Saccharomyces cerevisiae S288C: one gene and its partners. Changing the gene in region 1 together with any one later gene gives a genetic interaction. Each region holds a gene or a part of one and is shown in the gene's direction. Other genes may lie near its edges. The genes, in order: YEF1, AFT2, GDH3 and AZR1.

Region 1 (6,318 bases):
GACTCTCAAACGATGTGCCCATTGTTCCAGGCAATAACACTACTTTAACACCTTCACACTCGAACATATTAACAATGAACCATCAACCAACGGCGGATAACATTACACGAAGATCTTTCCATGCCTCTTCACCACCTTTCAACTCCATATGGAATTCAAATACAAATCAACTTTCTCCTCCATTGGAGGAGCAGTATCACCTCGATGTGCCTGTGGGTCCAAAGGTTCCCGCTAAAGAACCAAGCCCTAAGCCTTCTCACAAGAGGAACCAAAGTAACAGCAGCATTTCTTCTGCATGGTCCAAGTTTAAGCACAAGTCTGCATCATCACCTGCTAATGCGGACACGGATATTCAAGATTCATCAACTCCATCAACTAGTCCAAGCGGTAGAAGAATGTCAAAACTGTTGTCCAAGAGCGGTATGAATAATCTATTTAACCCGCACAGTCACGACTCATGAACAATATTATAATACTTCCAGGTCGTGTATATATGTAGATATATAAATTATGAAACATAATATATGAAAGCAGTTTGAGCTTATTCTTAATCATCAATAGGGTAACGGTATTAATCTCATTTTTTCTTTTTTTTTTTCTTTTTATTTTGGCGTCTCGTCTCAATTTCATTTTTCCCATCTTTTTACAACTTCAATATGAAAAACATAACACATGAAAAATAACTGTCAACATTAATAATATTCCTTGCATAGTGCTTCGATTTTCCAAATATAAAAACAGTTTCTTTTACAAGCTTATTTAATTTTGGTTTTAAGGAGAAAGCACTAATAAAAAGGGCAAGGACTGCAATCAACAATCTTTATTGGCGAACAGTTAAGGGTCCTCTCGAGAAGAAACATTAAGACATCATCGCACAAAAAACATGGCGCCCATCTTTAGAAATTACCGGTTCGCTATCGGTGCTTTTGCCGTTATTATGCTCATTTTGTTGATTAAAACATCTTCCATCGGTCCACCTTCTATTGCACGTACAGTTACTCCTAATGCTAGTATTCCCAAAACTCCGGAGGACATCTCTATCTTGCCCGTCAATGATGAACCAGGTTACCTTCAAGATTCGAAGACTGAACAAAACTATCCTGAGCTTGCCGATGCTGTGAAGTCACAAACAAGTCAAACATGCAGCGAAGAACATAAGTATGTTATCATGATCGATGCCGGCTCTACCGGTTCCCGAGTACATATATACAAGTTTGACGTCTGTACTTCCCCACCTACATTACTTGATGAAAAATTCGACATGTTAGAGCCTGGTTTATCTTCTTTCGATACCGATTCCGTTGGTGCCGCTAACTCCCTTGACCCATTACTGAAAGTAGCAATGAACTATGTCCCTATTAAGGCAAGAAGTTGTACTCCCGTTGCGGTGAAAGCTACTGCAGGCCTAAGACTCTTGGGTGATGCCAAATCTTCAAAAATTTTGAGCGCTGTAAGGGATCATTTGGAGAAGGACTATCCTTTCCCAGTTGTCGAAGGTGATGGTGTTTCCATCATGGGCGGTGATGAAGAAGGTGTCTTCGCCTGGATTACTACAAACTACCTATTAGGTAATATCGGTGCTAATGGCCCCAAGTTACCTACTGCTGCCGTTTTTGACTTAGGCGGAGGGTCTACACAAATTGTTTTTGAGCCTACTTTCCCAATAAATGAAAAAATGGTCGATGGTGAGCATAAATTTGATTTGAAGTTTGGTGATGAAAATTACACCTTGTACCAATTTTCTCATCTAGGTTACGGTTTGAAGGAAGGAAGAAATAAAGTTAACTCTGTTCTTGTGGAAAATGCATTAAAAGACGGCAAAATATTGAAGGGTGATAACACTAAGACTCATCAATTGTCATCTCCATGCCTACCGCCTAAAGTTAATGCCACAAATGAAAAGGTTACATTAGAATCCAAGGAAACTTATACCATTGACTTTATAGGGCCGGACGAGCCAAGTGGTGCACAATGTAGATTTCTGACTGATGAAATTTTGAATAAAGATGCTCAGTGCCAGTCTCCACCATGCTCTTTCAATGGGGTTCACCAACCTTCTTTAGTTCGTACATTCAAAGAATCGAACGATATCTATATTTTCTCTTATTTCTACGACAGAACCCGTCCATTGGGTATGCCCTTGTCCTTTACTTTGAATGAATTGAACGATTTGGCAAGAATAGTGTGTAAAGGCGAAGAAACTTGGAATAGTGTCTTCAGTGGCATTGCGGGGTCCCTAGATGAATTGGAAAGTGACTCGCACTTCTGTTTGGACTTATCTTTTCAAGTGTCCTTATTACATACGGGATATGACATTCCATTACAAAGAGAATTGAGAACTGGAAAGAAAATTGCCAATAAAGAAATCGGTTGGTGTTTAGGTGCGTCATTACCATTGTTGAAAGCTGATAACTGGAAATGTAAAATTCAATCAGCTTGAATAAGAACATGGACACCGCTTTTCGTCCCATGTATATTAAGGAAGAGGAGATTGCGGTGATATGTATTCTGTTATATGTCCTATTCTATAACCCTTGAACAATATGTAAACGATTTTTACGTTATGAAAATCACTATTATCCCCACAATAGTTTATTATAACACCGCCGCCAAGACAGGGGATTGAAAAGGCCTTCCGAGGTTTATCCATTTTTGGTAAAAGCCCGCCACGCCTTCAGGTGTTTGAGTATGAACTGGAAGAGTTATCTGTTAGGACCTCATAATCTTGAACATATGAGATAATTTAATATACTTTTGTTATGGATTGTTCCGTTGTTTTAAGACTATATGGCTTTGTTTTAGTTTTAGGGTGATTGTGGATATCACACCGGTCCTCAAGAAAATCGAAAACAAAAGGATAATCGGACTTATCTGGTGATCGAAGAAACTGCATTTCAGGTCGTTTAATAAACTGCTAGCTATTGATATTATATATATAAATAAACCTACAATCAGGTTAGTGTATTCATCTCACTTCTATAGCGTTGTGAAAGGGAAATGGAAATAGTGCAATCTCAATAAATCTGCTTACGTGACATTTTTTACTAAAAGAGAATATGAAAACTGATAGATTACTGATTAACGCTTCCCCGGAGACATGTACCAAGGGAGATGCTGAGATGGATACTATGGATACTATTGACAGAATGACATCAGTTAAAGTTTTAGCGGAAGGCAAGGTATTAAGCAACTTCGAAGAACCGGGCTTAATGAGGTGCGGTTATCATGATGCAAAAAACTGGGTCAGAAGATTATCGAGCGAAACAATTGTCGGTGAGGACACGAGTAATTTATACCCATTTTATGTTGATACTGCATACGATGTAAGGCGTTTGAGAAAGGATCTTATAAATGCTAAGGTTGACTTGCAGGTTGAAAACCTGATAATAATCTGCAATATTAATGATATTTCCACTGTATTTCTCATGAGAGAAGTGGTGGAATGGATCTTACGCAATTTCCATTCAATAACTGTATATGTACAAGATATTTTTAAAAAGTCAACTCAGTTTGCTGTTGGTGACCTCTGCAAAGACAGCAATTGCAGTAAAAACAGAGTAAAGTATTGGTCAAAAGAATTTGTTAAAAAACACGATTCATTCTTTGACTTGATGATTACACTAGGGGGTGATGGAACTGTCCTTTTTGCTTCATCTATATTCACGAAAGATGTTCCGCCGATTGTTCCATTTGCCCTTGGATCATTAGGATTTCTAACAAATTTTGAATTTCAAAATTTCAAAGAAACGTTGAAACATATCTTAACAGATGAGGTTCGTATTAATTTACGAATGAGGTTGCAATGCAAACTCTACCGTAGAAATAAACCAGAAATTGATGCCGCAACTGGGAGAAAAATATGTTACATCGATTTCATCTCCGAACATCACGTATTGAACGAAGTAACCATAGATAGAGGTCCAGCTCCTTGTTTATCCCTATTAGAACTCTATGGAAACGACTCACTAATGACTAAGGTTCAGGGAGATGGATTGATTGTTGCCACGCCTACGGGATCCACGGCATACTCATTGAGTGCAGGAGGCTCTTTAATATCGCCAAGCGTAAATGCCATAGCGGTGACGCCTATATGTCCTCATACTTTGAGCTTTAGGCCTATAATTTTACCAGATAGCATGGAATTAAAAGTTAGAGTAGATATGAACTCAAGAGGGACGTCGTGGGTGAATTTTGACGGAAAAGATAGAGTTGAATTGAAACAGGGTGACTATGTTGTGATAACTGCAAGCCCCTATTCGGTACCGACTATCGAGTCATCTGCCAGTGAATTTTTTGAAAGTATCAGTAAAAATCTTAATTGGAATGACCGCGAAGAGCAGAAGCCATTTGCACATATTCTCTCGCCAAAAAATCAAGAAAAATATAGATTAGACTCATCGAAAAATGGAAACGACACCATAAGTAATCCCCTCGAGAGTTCATGCATAAGCTCAGATGCACAAGATGAGGAGAGGAAATCCGTAACGGAAACAGAAACAGAAATAGTTGTTGAACGGACTCGTCAGGCTCATTTTGCAATCTAACGATTTCCCACATCCTGCGTTTCCGTAGTCAAGGGTTCATAATGGATGATGAGCCTGTAAACAGCTTTGTATTTACCTCTTTTACTTCAAGAATGCTCTTGCGTCGTTTGCAGTGTCGAAGAAGATCCAGTAGAGCTATACAAAATGGAGAAATGAAACAGTTGAACCAGAGCGCCGCATTTGGCAGGTAGTTTCGCTAAATTTCCTCATGCGCGTTTGTAATTATGCTAGTTAACCATATGATAAGGTTGCCTAACTTGCAGTCACCGGAAGGTTATTTCCGGAATGGTGCAGAATAATTTTTAAAATAGTAGCATATATTTCGTTCCAATTCCCAAATAGGGAATTATAATTATGACAGATAAATTCCCGATTAGGAAGAAGCGCGAAAATTCTTGAAAAACTTTTTTCAACCTCGAAGAAAATCGTCGTCCTTCGAAGATTTAGTGGGAATCTTCAAGGTGGATAGTTTCCAAATTAAAACTGCAGAAGAGGCTTTTAAAACATGCCTGAGGTATAAAAAGAACAACATTCCTGGTGATTATGGTTTCTGTTGGACCCTGTTCCCTTTGTAAAACTTCTATTTATTGTCCTGCAAATAAGCTAATTATATAATTAATAATGGCAATCGTTAATAGTTGGCTAATTTGTTTAGTCAGTATTTTTTCCTTCGTGGTACGTGTAGAGGCCGCTACATTTTGCAATGCAACTCAAGCATGTCCCGAAGATAAACCATGTTGCTCACAATATGGTGAATGTGGTACTGGTCAATATTGTCTGAACAACTGTGATGTAAGATATTCGTTTAGTCATGATTCATGTATGCCTGTACCTATCTGCAAGAGTTCATCCACTAAATTCAAAGATTATTCCTCTAAGTTGGGGAATGCTAACACTTTCTTAGGAAATGTTAGTGAGGCTGATTGGTTGTATACTGGTGACGTTTTGGATTATGATGATGAAGAAAGTTTAATTTTGGCGATGCCCAAGAACAGTGGTGGTACCGTTCTTTCCTCCACGAGGGCTGTTTGGTATGGTAAGGTCAGTGCTAGAATAAAGACGTCACATCTTGCTGGTGTGGTCACTGGGTTCATTCTGTATTCCGGCGCAGGTGATGAACTTGATTACGAATTCGTCGGTGCTGATCTAGAAACTGCTCAAACCAATTTCTATTGGGAAAGTGTTTTGAACTACACGAATTCTGCCAATATTTCCACTACTGATACATTTGAAAACTACCATACTTACGAATTAGATTGGCACGAAGATTATGTAACATGGTCCATCGATGGTGTCGTCGGTAGAACCTTGTACAAGAACGAAACTTATAACGCCACCACCCAAAAATATCAATACCCACAAACCCCATCCAAGGTGGATATTTCCATTTGGCCAGGTGGTAATTCTACCAACGCTCCAGGAACCATTGCATGGTCTGGTGGTGAAATTAATTGGGACGCATCCGATATCAGCAACCCAGGATATTATTATGCTATTGTCAATGAAGTTAATATCACATGTTATGATCCACCAAGCGATACCAAGAAGAATGGTACTTCTGCTTATGTGTATACTTCGTCCAGTGAATTTTTGGCCAAAGACATTGCTATTACCGATGATGAGGTCATGATGGACAGTGATGAGGGATCTGGCTTGGACCCACATAAGGGAGCTACCACATCTTCCACCCAAAAGAGTTCTTCCTCAACTGCAACCTCTTCCTCCAAAACGTCATCCGATCACAGCAGTTCAACTAAGAAGAGTAGTAAGACTA
Region 2 (3,807 bases), on another chromosome or scaffold:
CTTCGATTGCGCGGCTAAAGTTGCCATATTATTATTATATTGCAGCTCAACCCCGCATTTCCGGAGTTTTCTTTTTTTTTATTTGGGGTAATTTGGAGGTCGGCGGCTATTGGTGGGCCGGAAATGGTGACACACTTGTAATATATAAGGAGGAAATCCTACATGTGTATAAGCGAAATCACAAGGATAATAATGTATTGCTAAACACCCTCAAGAAAGAAAATAATCATAACGAAATCATGGGTATACCTATGCAAATATACCAGGATGGGAAGGGGGTGCAATTTTACCACACGAGATATCAGAACGTATTTGACGAACGGGCGAGCAAGTATGGCAACTACACGGTGAATAATGATTACCCACAGCTTCCAGATACGATAAAGGAACATATCGACCAGCTTACCTTTAGCAATGTCGGAGAGGATGGTGGAGATGTTGGAAACTATTCTGAAGAAGACGATGATGGTGACGAAGAAAAGGAACTTGAAGATGTTTTTCGAAGTAACCGTGGGTTGGAATTTGTACGGATTAATAACTATTTTACTACCCACGATTTACAAAGTTTCAAAAGTTTTAGAAATTTCAATAGCAAGTACTGGATTTTTTATTCTAATCAAGCAGAGGACAAAAAATTACTGCTGTATGACTTTAACGGCCAACATTTGATTTTTATTAAGCAGCAATTTTACGGGCAGTTGAATTTACTGCTATCGGACGCAATAATATGTATGGACTGCAATTTTGGTTATAATTCAAACACCATTCAAATTTTAGTTGGATTTCAGAATGGAAAGTTGTTAAAGCTAAACTGCGACTTGAACGGAAACGTAAACAATCACTTGCTTTTGAAGGATCCTTCAACTTCCTCTCATCAAAGCCACCTATCTATATTAAATGTCTGGGCAGGTTTGTTGCCACATTTCGTTGTTTCTTTTAGTTTGAAAGATGGGCTGCTAATAACTTCTTTAGATCACCAACAAAGCAATGGAAGTTTTCAAAGTTTCCATACCAACATTGATTTGCCTGTAGATCTACGCACGACCACAAATGTCAAGTCCGTTTTAAATTTCCCTCAGTTTACTTTATACAAAGGAAATGATATGATTTTCCACTGCAAGAATCTATTAGGATCGGATGCTTCCACGCTAAACAAGGAAATAAACTTTATGCTTAAAATAGACGAAGACGTTCAAAAGATCGACTATCTTCTTAAAACGAATCACATTTTACTCGAAACCAACATGAGATATCTGTCCATTCCAACAAGAGACCCCATAGAGAATTCAAATTCTTCTCCACCCGTCTCAGACAGCGAGGTTTATCCAATATTTTACAAGACACAAGAACTTCATGTCCATGCTTCAGGAACAGGACGTCAGATAGCAAACAATGGGAAGTATATTTTTATAACCGAGCAACATCTCTACGGAACAGCGTTATCGGTATACAAGTACTCTATATCTTTCAAACGGTGGCTGTTCGTGGGCTACTCAGACATTAGGGCCAAATACGGTATAAGGAGTGTCAAAGATCTCTTTGTTGGTAACTGTCCCTCTGTAAATAGCCCAGTGCTGACAATTCTTACTGATGACAATAACATTCAAACAATTCTTCTTAAATAAAGGTTAAGGAAATGTAAATAAAAAAAATAACAGTGACATTAATTTGTATATATCTCAACTTCTTCACTTTAACCTGTCTGAGCTGTTTGGTTTTGAACTGGAAGCACGTTTCTCATTTTATTGAACGATACCAGAGCCATTCATTATTCGATTGACGGTAAGCGGTATTGTGCGAAAAGCAAAGGGAAAAAATAGAAAGAACAAAAAAAAGAAAGAAAAAAGCACCGTAAAAAAAAAAATCGTTTCGTGGGCCGAGATCGGTAAAGTGGCTTTCTTTTAGTCAGAATTGATTTTCTTTTGATTAAGGCAAAAACTGTGCAAATTAAACTGATGGACCTATACATAATAGTGAACACGACTCATTCAAAAAATTTGTTGTAGTGACCAGAAACTCTGGCGCAAATTAATCAAGAGAAAGCGACCCCCAAGAAATGAAAGCAAAGTCGATGAAGAGCATAATATCTGTGCCAATATCAGTGTCTAAAACAGGGAAAATGAAGTTAACAGCATCTCCCGATAATCTAGCATCTATGATGTCTAAAGACCAAAATAAACTTATTCATTTAGACCCAGTTCCGTCTTTTGAGGACAGGCACGAGATTAAACCGTGGCTACAGAAAATATTCTATCCTCAAGGAATAGATATAGTCATCGAAAGATCAGATAGTAGCAAAGTTACTTTTAAGTGTAGGTCAGTACGATCGAAAGTAGGGTTGAACCCTAAATCCAAAGGTTCCTCTTCAAGATCCCATGCATGTCCATTTAGAATTAGAGCAGCCTACTCTGTGCGGTTACAGAAGTGGAACGTGGTTGTTATGAATAACATACATTCACATGAGCTGAGATTTGATTTGATTACTAAAACGGATGACTATAAAAAGTTTAAGGAAAATCTTCGTCAGAAGAACGACGAAAAAGCCATCAAAACATTTGATGAATTAGAATATAAAGCAAGTCTAAACTTACCACTCGTCACACCAATTATTTCTTGTGACTGTGGGTTAACCAAGGAAATTGAAGCTTTCAATAACATTTTTCTCCCACTATCAAACCCCCCTTTGACGTCTAAAAAAAATTTGCTCAAAACAAATAAAAACTCCGTTTCTAAAATAAAATCCAGACAGATGGATAATTCGAAACCTAGGCCAAGGTTGAAAACGAAGTTGGATGCGGATCTACATGATACCGGATTTTTAGACAATTTCAAAACGCGGAATTCCTGTGTAAAGATAGAGAAAGAAGATTCTTTAACGAACTTAAACGAAATTGATTTTACGAACATGTTTTGCAACGACAATTTCATCCAAAATTACAACCAAGGCCTGATGGAACTTTTGACAGAACCTACACCAGGTCCTTCGTCCTCTTCTTGTATACTTCCTTCAACACCAACGAGGCCCTTGTCACAAAGCAAAATGGATATAGCCCTGTCAGAATCAACAACATCTTCACCAAATTTTATGGAAACAGACGCTCCTTATGGAGATGAGATCATTAAAGTTTCCAAAGATACCAAAAGCAACGCACCAACTGCTGATACAGATATTGCTACGAACTTAGGCAAAGAGAGAAACGAAAATTTTGGCATGTTAAACTACAACTACGAAGCGTTGCTTCATTTCAACGATGAGCATTTTAATGAATTAAATTCTATTGACCCAGCCTTAATATCAAAATATTAATTATTTAGTTTTCAACTCATTAAAACGGTATCACGTTTAAATATGTGACAAGATCTGATGGACATGAATAATGGTGATATCAGCACCATCGAGGGATTTTGGACCTTAGACTTTTTAAAGCTACGGAGGACTTAAAGCATGTCGATACAAATAAGATATATCATGGCTTCATGCGCTCAAAAGTTTTATTCTTCAAGTTTGTTGATTATAATATGGTTCACGTGCGCTTCATCTTTTCATAGGTAATGCACCGCAACATTCAATTATCTAAAAAACTTTCAGGCGTGCCGGTCCCCTAATTTTTGCACTGAGATCATGAGATCAGTAAGTAAAAGCTCATATAGGAAATAATCATATAGAAAAAAGCAGAGGAATGATATTCGAACATTTTCTATACATCACCCCTCCTATTTTTAGATGAATCTCTAAGATCTAAATGCCCTCAACTTAAATATGATATTGAATTAAAATGAATTGTAGTATAGAAGATATTTAGGGCA
Region 3 (6,161 bases), on another chromosome or scaffold:
GTACCCCAGGCAACGGCATTTGAGTAAACAATCTTCATTGGATAATAGAAACCAGCATACATGTAGACAGTCCCTGTAATATTATCAGGGGGACTTCCATTCCATGGCTTGATACCATTGATGGTGAAGTTAGTCGACGTGATGGGAGGTTGTTCTTGTGCACAACATTCGAACGCAATGCTACCACCGACTGATAGAATTGCAGAGTCGTCAACTGTAGCAAACTTGAATGTGTAAGAACCCGTCTGTGGTGGTAAAAAATAACCTGTCATTTCTAGGGTTACGTTTGTTGGGGTAGTATAGAAACCAAATAAATCAGTACTCCAGTATGCAATTATTGGATTATTAGAACAAGCACCAATTCCTTTGCATCCCCAATTACCATATAAATCTTCTTGAGGACAAGGAAATGTGCCTGATGAACTAACACAAGGAATATTATAATCAATCGAGATATCAGTTTGTCCTCCGACAGAACCCAGTTTAGTTTTTGAGGCATATCCATAAGCCATATATGCTGCATTCGAATATGTGGAGGAATCTCTCAATGAATACTGGTAAAAGTTTACATTCATACCATTCTTCCTTGAGTTTGCTGGCAGGCATGCCGCTGTAGTCGCAGAGACAACATTAGTTAATCCCAGCAATGTGACGATGGCTAGTAGTAAACAATAATGTGCCAGAGACATTTTTGGGGCTTTTATTGTACAATTGTTCTTTTTAAATTGCAATTTAAAGAGCGTACCTGTAAATAAGAAGGAAGAACGTTATGTTATTAATGGACTTTTAGTGTCATCGAATTTTATGTAATATATAAGAAGGTAGAATAATTTGGCAGGATAATGTGTTAGCAAAGGAGGAAATCGAATACCTTTAAAAGAGAAAAAATTTTTTAGCTGCTTAAATTTCTGTGTTATACCACCCGATAGATTTTGAGTTATGCTTTCTAATTGATCTGACTGCGAACGTTTTCTTTATGCCATCTGAATTGTCAGGAACAAAGAAGAAAAAGAAAAGTTTTTAAAAAATCTGTGGTCGTGTGTGATGTACCTTTCCTTTACATGCATTAATGCGCTCTGAAATGTGGTACGATATCCTTACAGAGAATATATTTTCTGTATATCGTGCAATGTTGAATAACCTATGAAGGAAAGTACCCATCGCTCAAGGTAAGCATTCCAGGAGGGTCGCCAGAAACTTAAACTAGTTTTAGCGACAGATCCGAAAATTGATAGAGACATTGAAAAAATCACTACTCCGTCCTTTTTAGTGCTTTCTCAATGCATAATTTTGGTGCACGACTAAAAAATTCTAGAACACTATAGTTGCATTTTTTGGGCCGGAAGAAGAAAAACGCATGTAACTTTAATGTCAAATAAAGTTTTCACCTAGTAAGCGCGATACAAAAAAAACACAGAAATAGCCATAGGAAAGTGAATTTTGTCAGCCGACTAAAATTAAGGTTAGCTTACAAAGCAGCAAAAAATTTGACATCGCACGGTATTCCCTGAAAAAGGAGCAGGCAGGTGCTGTATATTTTTTTCGGTTCCTGCCTCTTACATGGCGTCGGTGTATCTTAAATACTAAAGTGAGCTGACTACCCTTTTGAGTGCCCTATGTGACCTCTGATCTCGAAAGTAAACAAGAGATACCTAATTTCACAGCCACTTTTTGTTGCGGACACTGACGGGATGTGTTGTGAATATTTTAAACCTTAAAAGTATTTATTGGTTAGTTATACTTAATTCTTATACGTCCTTTAAAACCAGTGTGCAGTAAGTCTGTCACACAAAAATATGATTGATGCATTTTCAAAAAATAATGGCTTTGAGGTAATTCGTTCCACTTTTGAGACTTATTCACATGTCCCAGCTGGGTGCAATCAAAATATACCGGCATTTCAGCAAGGTAACTATATACGCTTTTTTTCTCATGGTTTTTGAAATCATACCTGCCAAGCTTGCTGCACTTGGAAGGCAACTCCGTTTTTCAGAGATTAGATCCTTTTTTTTTTGAAGAAAAGGCAGCCAAGTTACGTCATAGAGAAAACTCCCTAGAGCGCTGCAAACACTTGTTAGTTTGCAGCTTACTTCACGTGTGGCTGGAAAATTGAAAAGTTACAATACGGTAAAAATACTTTGAAGACACTACACTATAACTGCTTGACCAAATTTTTACTCGTGAAAAATTTGTTCCAGCCGGTCTGTTACTGATATTAAGTTAAGGAATAGTAAACCGTATATTTTTCATCCACGTTTTTGTAGTTTATTTTCGGTTTACTAGCTATGCATTGATTGTCTATCAGAGCATATCAAGGTGGTTATGGAGGTGCTGATATTTAATCAATAAAATTATAGAAATTTTGAGAAAACAATAATGATTGTTTCTACAATGAAAATCAGTTCATGGAATAGTTGCCTTCGCACTACTTTTTCACCAGATTAATGGTGCATCAGAGCTTTCCCTTTTTGTCTTTTTCTTGTTTCCTTTTTCGATTGGTTTATCACGTAAGTTTCTTATGACATAAGAAGAGGCAAGAAACGAAAAGGGAAATATTGCCTACTTTTTTCTTTTCGAACGTAAATAATGACGGGATTTTGGTGTCATTTTTTTTCGTCTGGATTTTCTCAGAGAAGTACGTTTCGTCGCACAAGCTAAAATCATTGACAGGGCATGAGTTACGTCAATCTCTGGTCAATCCATGTCCAAAAAAATTTCTTGATTTGTTCAAAGTTTTTGCATAGGCACATTAATTGGTTTAGCGAAGTATACATTCTGAAGAACATTTTTGGGTGTATTTTCCACATAGAAAATTCGATTTTTTTTTTTCAATGCACCACTTGTCGAGTATACGTTAACTTTAATGTATTGAAGATGCAAAAATGAAAAGCCTACTTGGCATATGGAATTACAATAAATGGTCAATTCCTGTTTAAGCTAGCAGCGGCACTGTCGGTGTAAATTTGGGTTTAAACTATTGTTTACTTACTTTGAGAAATTTATGTATCGCCTATATTTTTCAATAAGTGCGATATCTTTAGCTTTCCACAGAACCCCCCCTCAGGCTATGGACGTGCGGTTATATGATCTTCTAATAAAAATCTCTTAGACTACGGTTCATGGAATACTTCTTGACTTCTTGGCGAAGGAAAGGCGCATAAATGTTGTGATCGAATGACCAGTAATACGTCGTTTGTTCTCTTGCTGAACAGCGAGGAAGAGATATTCATCCAAATGCATGAACGCAGAATCCTGTAAAAGTCGTAAAAATGTTAATCGCAATGTTGTAAAAACCGTCAAGGCATTTATCGTTCAAAATGGCGATCATTGTTACTACTAAACACTTACTGTTAAATTAAAAAGCTGATGTTGCGTAATCCATTGACCAATTCATAGGCAATGTATTTCAATGACGCACAAGATTCATAACAAATTTTTTATTTACGATGTACCTGTACATTGTGCAGAAGGTCTTCAGAGTGAGTTTAAGCTAGGCTGTAAATATTTTAATGTTAAGATGAAATTTAAGTGAGCTGGTAATATCAAGTGAGGCATAATTTGTTATATGTAGCTGAACTTCAACTTTAAATAGAAAAATTACAACTAACAAGCACCGGATTGTTTCAGAATTCAAAGTGTAGAAGCTATTATTCTTGCAAAATAAAACGCTTTCAAAGTTTTCTTCTATAAACATACTTGTGGCAGCTTGTTTTTTTTGTTTTATTTTTAAGTTTTGTTGGGTCTCTGAGAACTTTCAAAAAAAGAAAAAGTAAAGTATGATAAAACGGAGCACTTGCCAAAGTAATTAACGCCCATTAAAAAGAAGGCATAGGAGGCATATACATATATATATATATATATATATATGGCTGCTGACAGATATTCTGCACTTAAAAACTAAAAATATTATACCAACTTTTCTTTTTCTTCCCGTTCAGTTTGCTTGATTGGCCCAGCTCTTTGAAGAAAGGAAAAAATGCGGAGAGGGAGCCAATGAGATTTTAAAGGGTATATTACTTATCTTATCGATAAGCAGTATTGATATTAAAGGGACAGTTTTATCGTTGGTTAATATGGAAAAAGTGATGACCATGATGCCTTTCTTAAAAAGAGTATTTCTTTTTATTTCACTTTCACATAAACAGTTAATGACTTCTGACTTTGAGCCGTTCGAACTCAGTTATATAAAGGTACATACATAGGCCACACACACACACACACACACATATATATATATATATAGGGAAGTAGCAACAGTCACCGAAAAGAAAAGGTAAAAAGTAAAAAATGACAAGCGAACCAGAGTTTCAGCAGGCTTACGATGAGATCGTTTCTTCTGTGGAGGATTCCAAAATTTTTGAAAAATTCCCACAGTATAAAAAAGTGTTACCTATTGTTTCTGTCCCGGAGAGGATCATTCAATTCAGGGTCACGTGGGAAAATGATAATGGCGAGCAAGAAGTGGCTCAAGGATACAGGGTGCAGTTCAATTCAGCCAAGGGCCCTTACAAGGGTGGCCTACGCTTCCACCCATCAGTGAACCTGTCTATCCTAAAATTTTTGGGTTTTGAACAGATCTTCAAGAATGCGCTCACTGGGCTAGATATGGGCGGTGGTAAGGGTGGCCTGTGTGTGGACTTGAAAGGCAAGTCTGACAACGAGATCAGAAGGATTTGTTATGCGTTCATGAGAGAACTGAGCAGGCATATTGGTAAGGACACAGACGTGCCCGCAGGAGATATTGGTGTCGGTGGCCGTGAAATTGGCTACCTATTCGGCGCTTACAGATCATACAAGAACTCCTGGGAAGGTGTGTTGACTGGTAAGGGTTTAAACTGGGGTGGCTCACTTATCAGGCCGGAGGCCACCGGGTTCGGCTTAGTTTACTATACGCAAGCAATGATCGATTATGCAACAAACGGCAAGGAGTCGTTTGAGGGCAAACGTGTGACAATCTCCGGAAGTGGCAATGTTGCGCAATATGCAGCTTTGAAAGTGATCGAGCTGGGTGGTATTGTGGTGTCTTTATCCGATTCGAAGGGGTGCATCATCTCTGAGACGGGCATTACTTCTGAGCAAATTCACGATATCGCTTCCGCCAAGATCCGTTTCAAGTCGTTAGAGGAAATCGTTGATGAATACTCTACTTTCAGCGAAAGTAAGATGAAGTACGTTGCAGGAGCACGCCCATGGACGCATGTGAGCAACGTCGACATTGCCTTGCCCTGTGCCACCCAAAACGAGGTCAGTGGTGACGAAGCCAAGGCCCTAGTGGCATCTGGCGTTAAGTTCGTTGCCGAAGGTGCTAACATGGGTTCTACACCCGAGGCTATTTCTGTTTTCGAAACAGCGCGTAGCACTGCAACCAATGCAAAGGATGCAGTTTGGTTTGGGCCACCAAAGGCAGCTAACCTGGGCGGCGTGGCAGTATCCGGTCTGGAAATGGCTCAGAATTCTCAAAAAGTAACTTGGACTGCCGAGCGGGTCGATCAAGAACTAAAGAAGATAATGATCAACTGCTTCAACGACTGCATACAGGCCGCACAAGAGTACTCTACGGAAAAAAATACAAACACCTTGCCATCATTGGTCAAGGGGGCCAACATTGCCAGCTTCGTCATGGTGGCTGACGCAATGCTTGACCAGGGAGACGTTTTTTAGCCGTAAGCGCTATTTTCTTTTTGTTCGTAACTATCTGTGTATGTAGTAGTGTAATCTACTTTTAATTTACTATGCAAATAGGGTTCAGCATTACGGAAGAAACTGAAATCCCTTCCGCGGAAGTTTCTTAGTAGTGGCCGTGCGGGGTGAGGAGATTACATGTCGGTAATTAGATGATTAACCTAGGCAATTTGAAGGGGGATAGTGGCATTGGTTAGCTCAGATATGATAAGGAGAACTAAGCAAGGGGGTTAACCACCACGGCTGTAGCACAAGACCGGCAGATGCGATTATTAGCAACACATTAGTTAATGCTTTTGATAAAATGTATATAAAGGCTGTCGTAATGTGCAGTAGTAAGGACCTGACTGTGTTTGTGGTTCTCTTCATTCTTGAACCTTGTCATTGGTAAAAGACCATCGTCAAGATATTTGAAAGTTAATAGACAGTTAACAATAATAACAACAGCAATAAGAATAACAATAAATTCATTGAACATA
Region 4 (3,939 bases), on another chromosome or scaffold:
TCCAAATACTTGGGCCTCCATAGGCCCTTCGGTATATAATTTTTCAAGGGATGGCTCGAACCATTGGCACGAGAGTGGTCTGGTGTATTCGTTTCTGTATTGGTTGTTTCAAAAATTTGGAAAATATGCAATGTTTGCTTATTTGACAATACGGCCAACTTACTACCATTGGGGCTGAAACTCATCTCGTAAATATCCGCCTTGTCCACCCCTCTTCTAAATTCTTTGATTAAAGTACCGTTATGCGTACTGAAGATTCTTATAAGTGTACCCTGGACGGAACATGTTGCTACCATGGTGCCTTGACGGTTCAGTCTAACCAGTTTGATGGGATTTTTATGTGCTTTAATGATGGAAGTGGGCAAAAGCGCTGATTCCTTCGGGTTTTGTGAATTATATTTTATTTGTGATAGGTCGGCTACTTGAATTTGGCCTACGCATTTATTCGATGGGAATGCAATGATTTCTAAGATTTTAGACTGTGACTGCGATGCTTGCGACTGGAGATGTTTGCTGCTACAAACGACATAGTCCACTGATCCATTGGGAGGGATATCCAAAATAGGACAAATTCTTTGAGGATTGGTTTGAAATTGGAAGATCTCTATTGTGTTCTCCAGGACTACCACAATATGAATCCTAGATAAAAACACGTCTTTAATGGAAGACATAAACTTCAAAGTAATCGTTTCCTTTTGCAAAAGATCATCCCAGATGATCAGTTTATTTAGAGCATGCCTTGGTCGTTTACCACCTCCGACTAGTGCGATGTAATTCGTACGATAAAGCATCCTGGTATAGCCAATCCCAGTGCCCCTGGATTGGTTGGTCGCAGACTCTTTAAATGTTTTCGATAGCTTACTAGTCAATGGATCTGTATTGAAAATACGAAATCCATTCTCTAACGCCACGCTGAAACACGAATCATCTTGGTTAAACGAAACGCTCAAAAATTTTGGTTTCCTCCTGTTGTTGACTGCCTCCCTTATAGGTCGACGAACATCCATCTGCTAGTTATGTATGCTTATAGTTGTCCTCTAATAATCGCTGCCTTTCCAGATCTTCTGGTTTCTCTTCCCTTTAACAATAGCCCCCGCAGTACGTATTACTAAGGTAAATAAATATAACCGGCTTTACAAGCCAGAAAGCCGTGATCACGTGATTATCAATTTCTTTATTTCATTTCGCTCAGATACTGCCAAAAGCCCCTGATCTTGAACACAAAGGTAAACAACGTTAATATGAACCTGGCTATCATCATTAGGATAGGCTCATTTTCTCTTTTTAACTCAGGCCCCTTTCTTGCACTGTTACCATAGGATCTTACCAATTTGCATTATTTCCGCCAACTAGCGGATATCCGCTGTATTTCCGCGCTTCTATATGCTATGGCTGGAAATACAATAAAAAGTGTCAAGCAGAACCACTACATTAATTTAAAGAAAAATGTCTTATATCAAAGAATCGGCACTGTATCAATTGATTATATATAATGCTAGAGTTTCCGTACCCTCTTGCAACGTCCTTTAAATCTTGTATCTTTTCTTCTACAATTGTAGTAACACCACGTCTACATTAGTATCTAAATTGCAGCCCAATGAAAGGCGAACCTAAGACTTACAGCATGAGCGACCTCTCATACTACGGTGAGAAAGCACAACAACAGAACGAGAAACAGCAAAAACAATATGTTGTGAGACGAAATTCTACGCAGTCAACATCAAAACAAAACGTGAGCGTGGTGCTCGAGGACAACGCCAGCGAAAGTAATGAACTACCTAAAGGGTTTATCTTGTACGCATCTTTGATAGCATTGGCTTTGTCGCTGTTTCTGGCAGCCTTGGATATCATGATAGTTTCTACAATCATTGAAGAAGTAGCTAAACAGTTTGGATCGTACTCTGAGATCGGGTGGTTATTTACCGGGTATAGCTTACCAAACGCTCTGTTGGCGTTGATATGGGGAAGAATTGCCACACCTATCGGATTCAAGGAGACCATGCTATTTGCTATTGTCATTTTTGAAATCGGGTCGCTGATCTCTGCTTTAGCAAATTCAATGAGTATGCTCATTGGTGGTAGAGTTATTGCTGGAGTCGGCGGTTGTGGTATTCAAAGTTTATCGTTCGTCATTGGTTCAACCCTGGTAGAGGAGTCGCAGAGAGGCATACTAATTGCTGTTTTGAGTTGTTCGTTTGCTATTGCATCTGTTGTTGGGCCTTTCCTTGGAGGAGTTTTCACCTCCAGCGTCACATGGAGATGGTGCTTCTATGTTAATTTACCGATCGGTGGCCTAGCATTTTTCTTATTCCTGTTCTTTTATAACCCAGGTTTAAGTACATTTCAAGAGACAATGGATAACATCCGCAAATTTCCATCACAGTTTATCGAAATTGTTCGGAATGTAGCATATCATTTATTGAAAATCAAAGGGTTTAGCAAACTTAATGGGTGGAGAAAGCCGTTCATGGAATTGATTTTCATGTATGATATTATCGAGTTTGTGTTTTGTTCAGCTGGATTCACATGTATTCTATTGGCTTTCACATTTGGCGGTAACCGGTATGCTTGGAACTCTGCATCCATCATTATTCTTTTCATCATCGGTATAGTCCTGGTAGTGTTAGCAGGTATCTATGATTTCCTTGTCTTCCCCAAATTTAATATAGTGAAAGCAACACCACATTACCAACCATTAATGTCATGGACAAATATCAAGAAACCAGGTATTTTCACGGTTAATATAGCCTTGTTTCTCACTTGTGCAGGATATATCAGTCAGTTTACGTATATTGTGCAATACTTCCAATTAATTTACAATGATTCCGCCTGGAGAGCCGCTGTACACCTGGTTGCTTGCATTATTTCTACAGTCGTTACAGCAATACTTTGCGGTGCTATCACCGACAAAACCCGCCAAATCAAACCGATTATTGTTATTTCAAGCATTTTTGGTGTTGTTGGTGCGGGTATATTAACCCTATTGAACAATAATGCCAATAACTCTGCTCACATCGGCCTTTTGATATTACCTGGCGTTGCTTTCGGTGGTTTGGCACAAAGTTCCATGCTCGCTTCTCAAATTCAGTTAGACAAGAAGAGCCCAACTTTTCGATCAGATTTTGTCTCTATTACCACTTTTAACACATTTTGCAAAAATCTAGGTCAAGCACTGGGAGGTGTCATCTCTAACACTGTTTTCAGTGCTGCTGCTATCAAGAAATTAACCAAGGCTAATATTCAGCTCCCAGATGGTACCACGGTAGACAATCTGGTAATCTATAGGCAGACCAATTTCGATGGCTCTCATTCCAAATTGGGCAATATAATTTCTGAATCTCTCACTGACGTCTTTTACATGGCATTAGGATTTTATGCATTATCTCTCATTTTTGCTGTTTTTGCTTCAAATAAGAAAGTCACAGCAAGCCTGAGATAAGTTAAGCACGATTTAGAAGGTGGCGAGCCTCAAAGTGTAAAGCTGCAGAAAAAATAAACATGACTTTTAGTAATTGGCTGTTTAGCTTGCTGAATTGTGTACCACAACTAACGATAACAGTAAGAGGGTAATCCGAGACAGTATGAGTACAGCTATTAAATAGTTAATTTAGATTTTTATACTGGTATGATAAACGACGTTCATATAGCAAGAGCGTCAATGCCTCTATGTCACCTTCAATAGAAGTTTCCCTTTTTATTTCGACTTTTGTTTTTGTATTTTTCGGCGTCTGCCTTGTTCCATTTTTAAGGCGCCAAAAATAAAATAAAATGATGAACGATTAGTACTCAAAGAACACTTTAATCCTTGGAAACAAAAAAATAAAAAATCAAAAGTTGAAGGAAGGTCAAATTTTCTTCCTCCAACGATAATAATACTTGCTTATATAACTCTTTTAAAGTTTTACAAAACTTTGGATCAGAAAAAAAGAAAAAAATATG

The links.
Region 2: mutations in YEF1 (region 1) and AFT2 together harm fitness more than expected from each alone (negative genetic interaction), as found in Saccharomyces cerevisiae (one large-scale study listed by BioGRID).
Region 3: mutations in YEF1 (region 1) and GDH3 together harm fitness more than expected from each alone (negative genetic interaction), as found in Saccharomyces cerevisiae (one large-scale study listed by BioGRID).
Region 4: mutations in YEF1 (region 1) and AZR1 together harm fitness more than expected from each alone (negative genetic interaction), as found in Saccharomyces cerevisiae (one large-scale study listed by BioGRID).

The regions. Positions count from the first base shown.
Region 1 is NC_001137.3:72,888-79,205, forward strand, and holds YEF1 (NADH/NAD(+) kinase), read left to right. Parts: upstream 1-3,056; coding exon 3,057-4,544; downstream 4,545-6,318. Other genes in the region: GTA1 (Gta1p), read left to right, coding at 1-461; GDA1 (guanosine diphosphatase), read left to right, coding at 884-2,440; chitin transglycosylase UTR2, read left to right, coding at 5,166-6,318. UniProt on the Saccharomyces cerevisiae protein: ATP-NADH kinase with a low phosphorylation activity of both NADH and NAD(+) to produce NADP and NADPH by using ATP.
Region 2 is NC_001148.4:167,588-171,394, reverse strand, and holds AFT2 (Aft2p), read left to right. Parts: upstream 1-2,056; coding exon 2,057-3,307; downstream 3,308-3,807. Other genes in the region: YIG1 (Yig1p), read left to right, coding at 240-1,625. UniProt on the Saccharomyces cerevisiae protein: Transcription factor required for iron homeostasis and resistance to oxidative stress. With AFT1, activates the gene expression in response to low-iron conditions, also called iron regulon.
Region 3 is NC_001133.9:27,280-33,440, forward strand, and holds GDH3 (glutamate dehydrogenase (NADP(+)) GDH3), read left to right. Parts: upstream 1-4,287; coding exon 4,288-5,661; downstream 5,662-6,161. Other genes in the region: flocculin FLO9, read right to left, coding at 1-689.
Region 4 is NC_001139.9:941,209-945,147, forward strand, and holds AZR1 (azole transporter), read left to right. Parts: upstream 1-1,597; coding exon 1,598-3,439; downstream 3,440-3,939. Other genes in the region: phosphatidylinositol-3,5-bisphosphate binding protein HSV2, read right to left, coding at 1-1,007; AMA1 (Ama1p), read left to right, coding at 3,937-3,939. UniProt on the Saccharomyces cerevisiae protein: Transporter protein required for adaptation to high stress imposed by low-chain organic acids, in particular by acetic acid, and for resistance to azoles, especially to ketoconazole and fluconazole.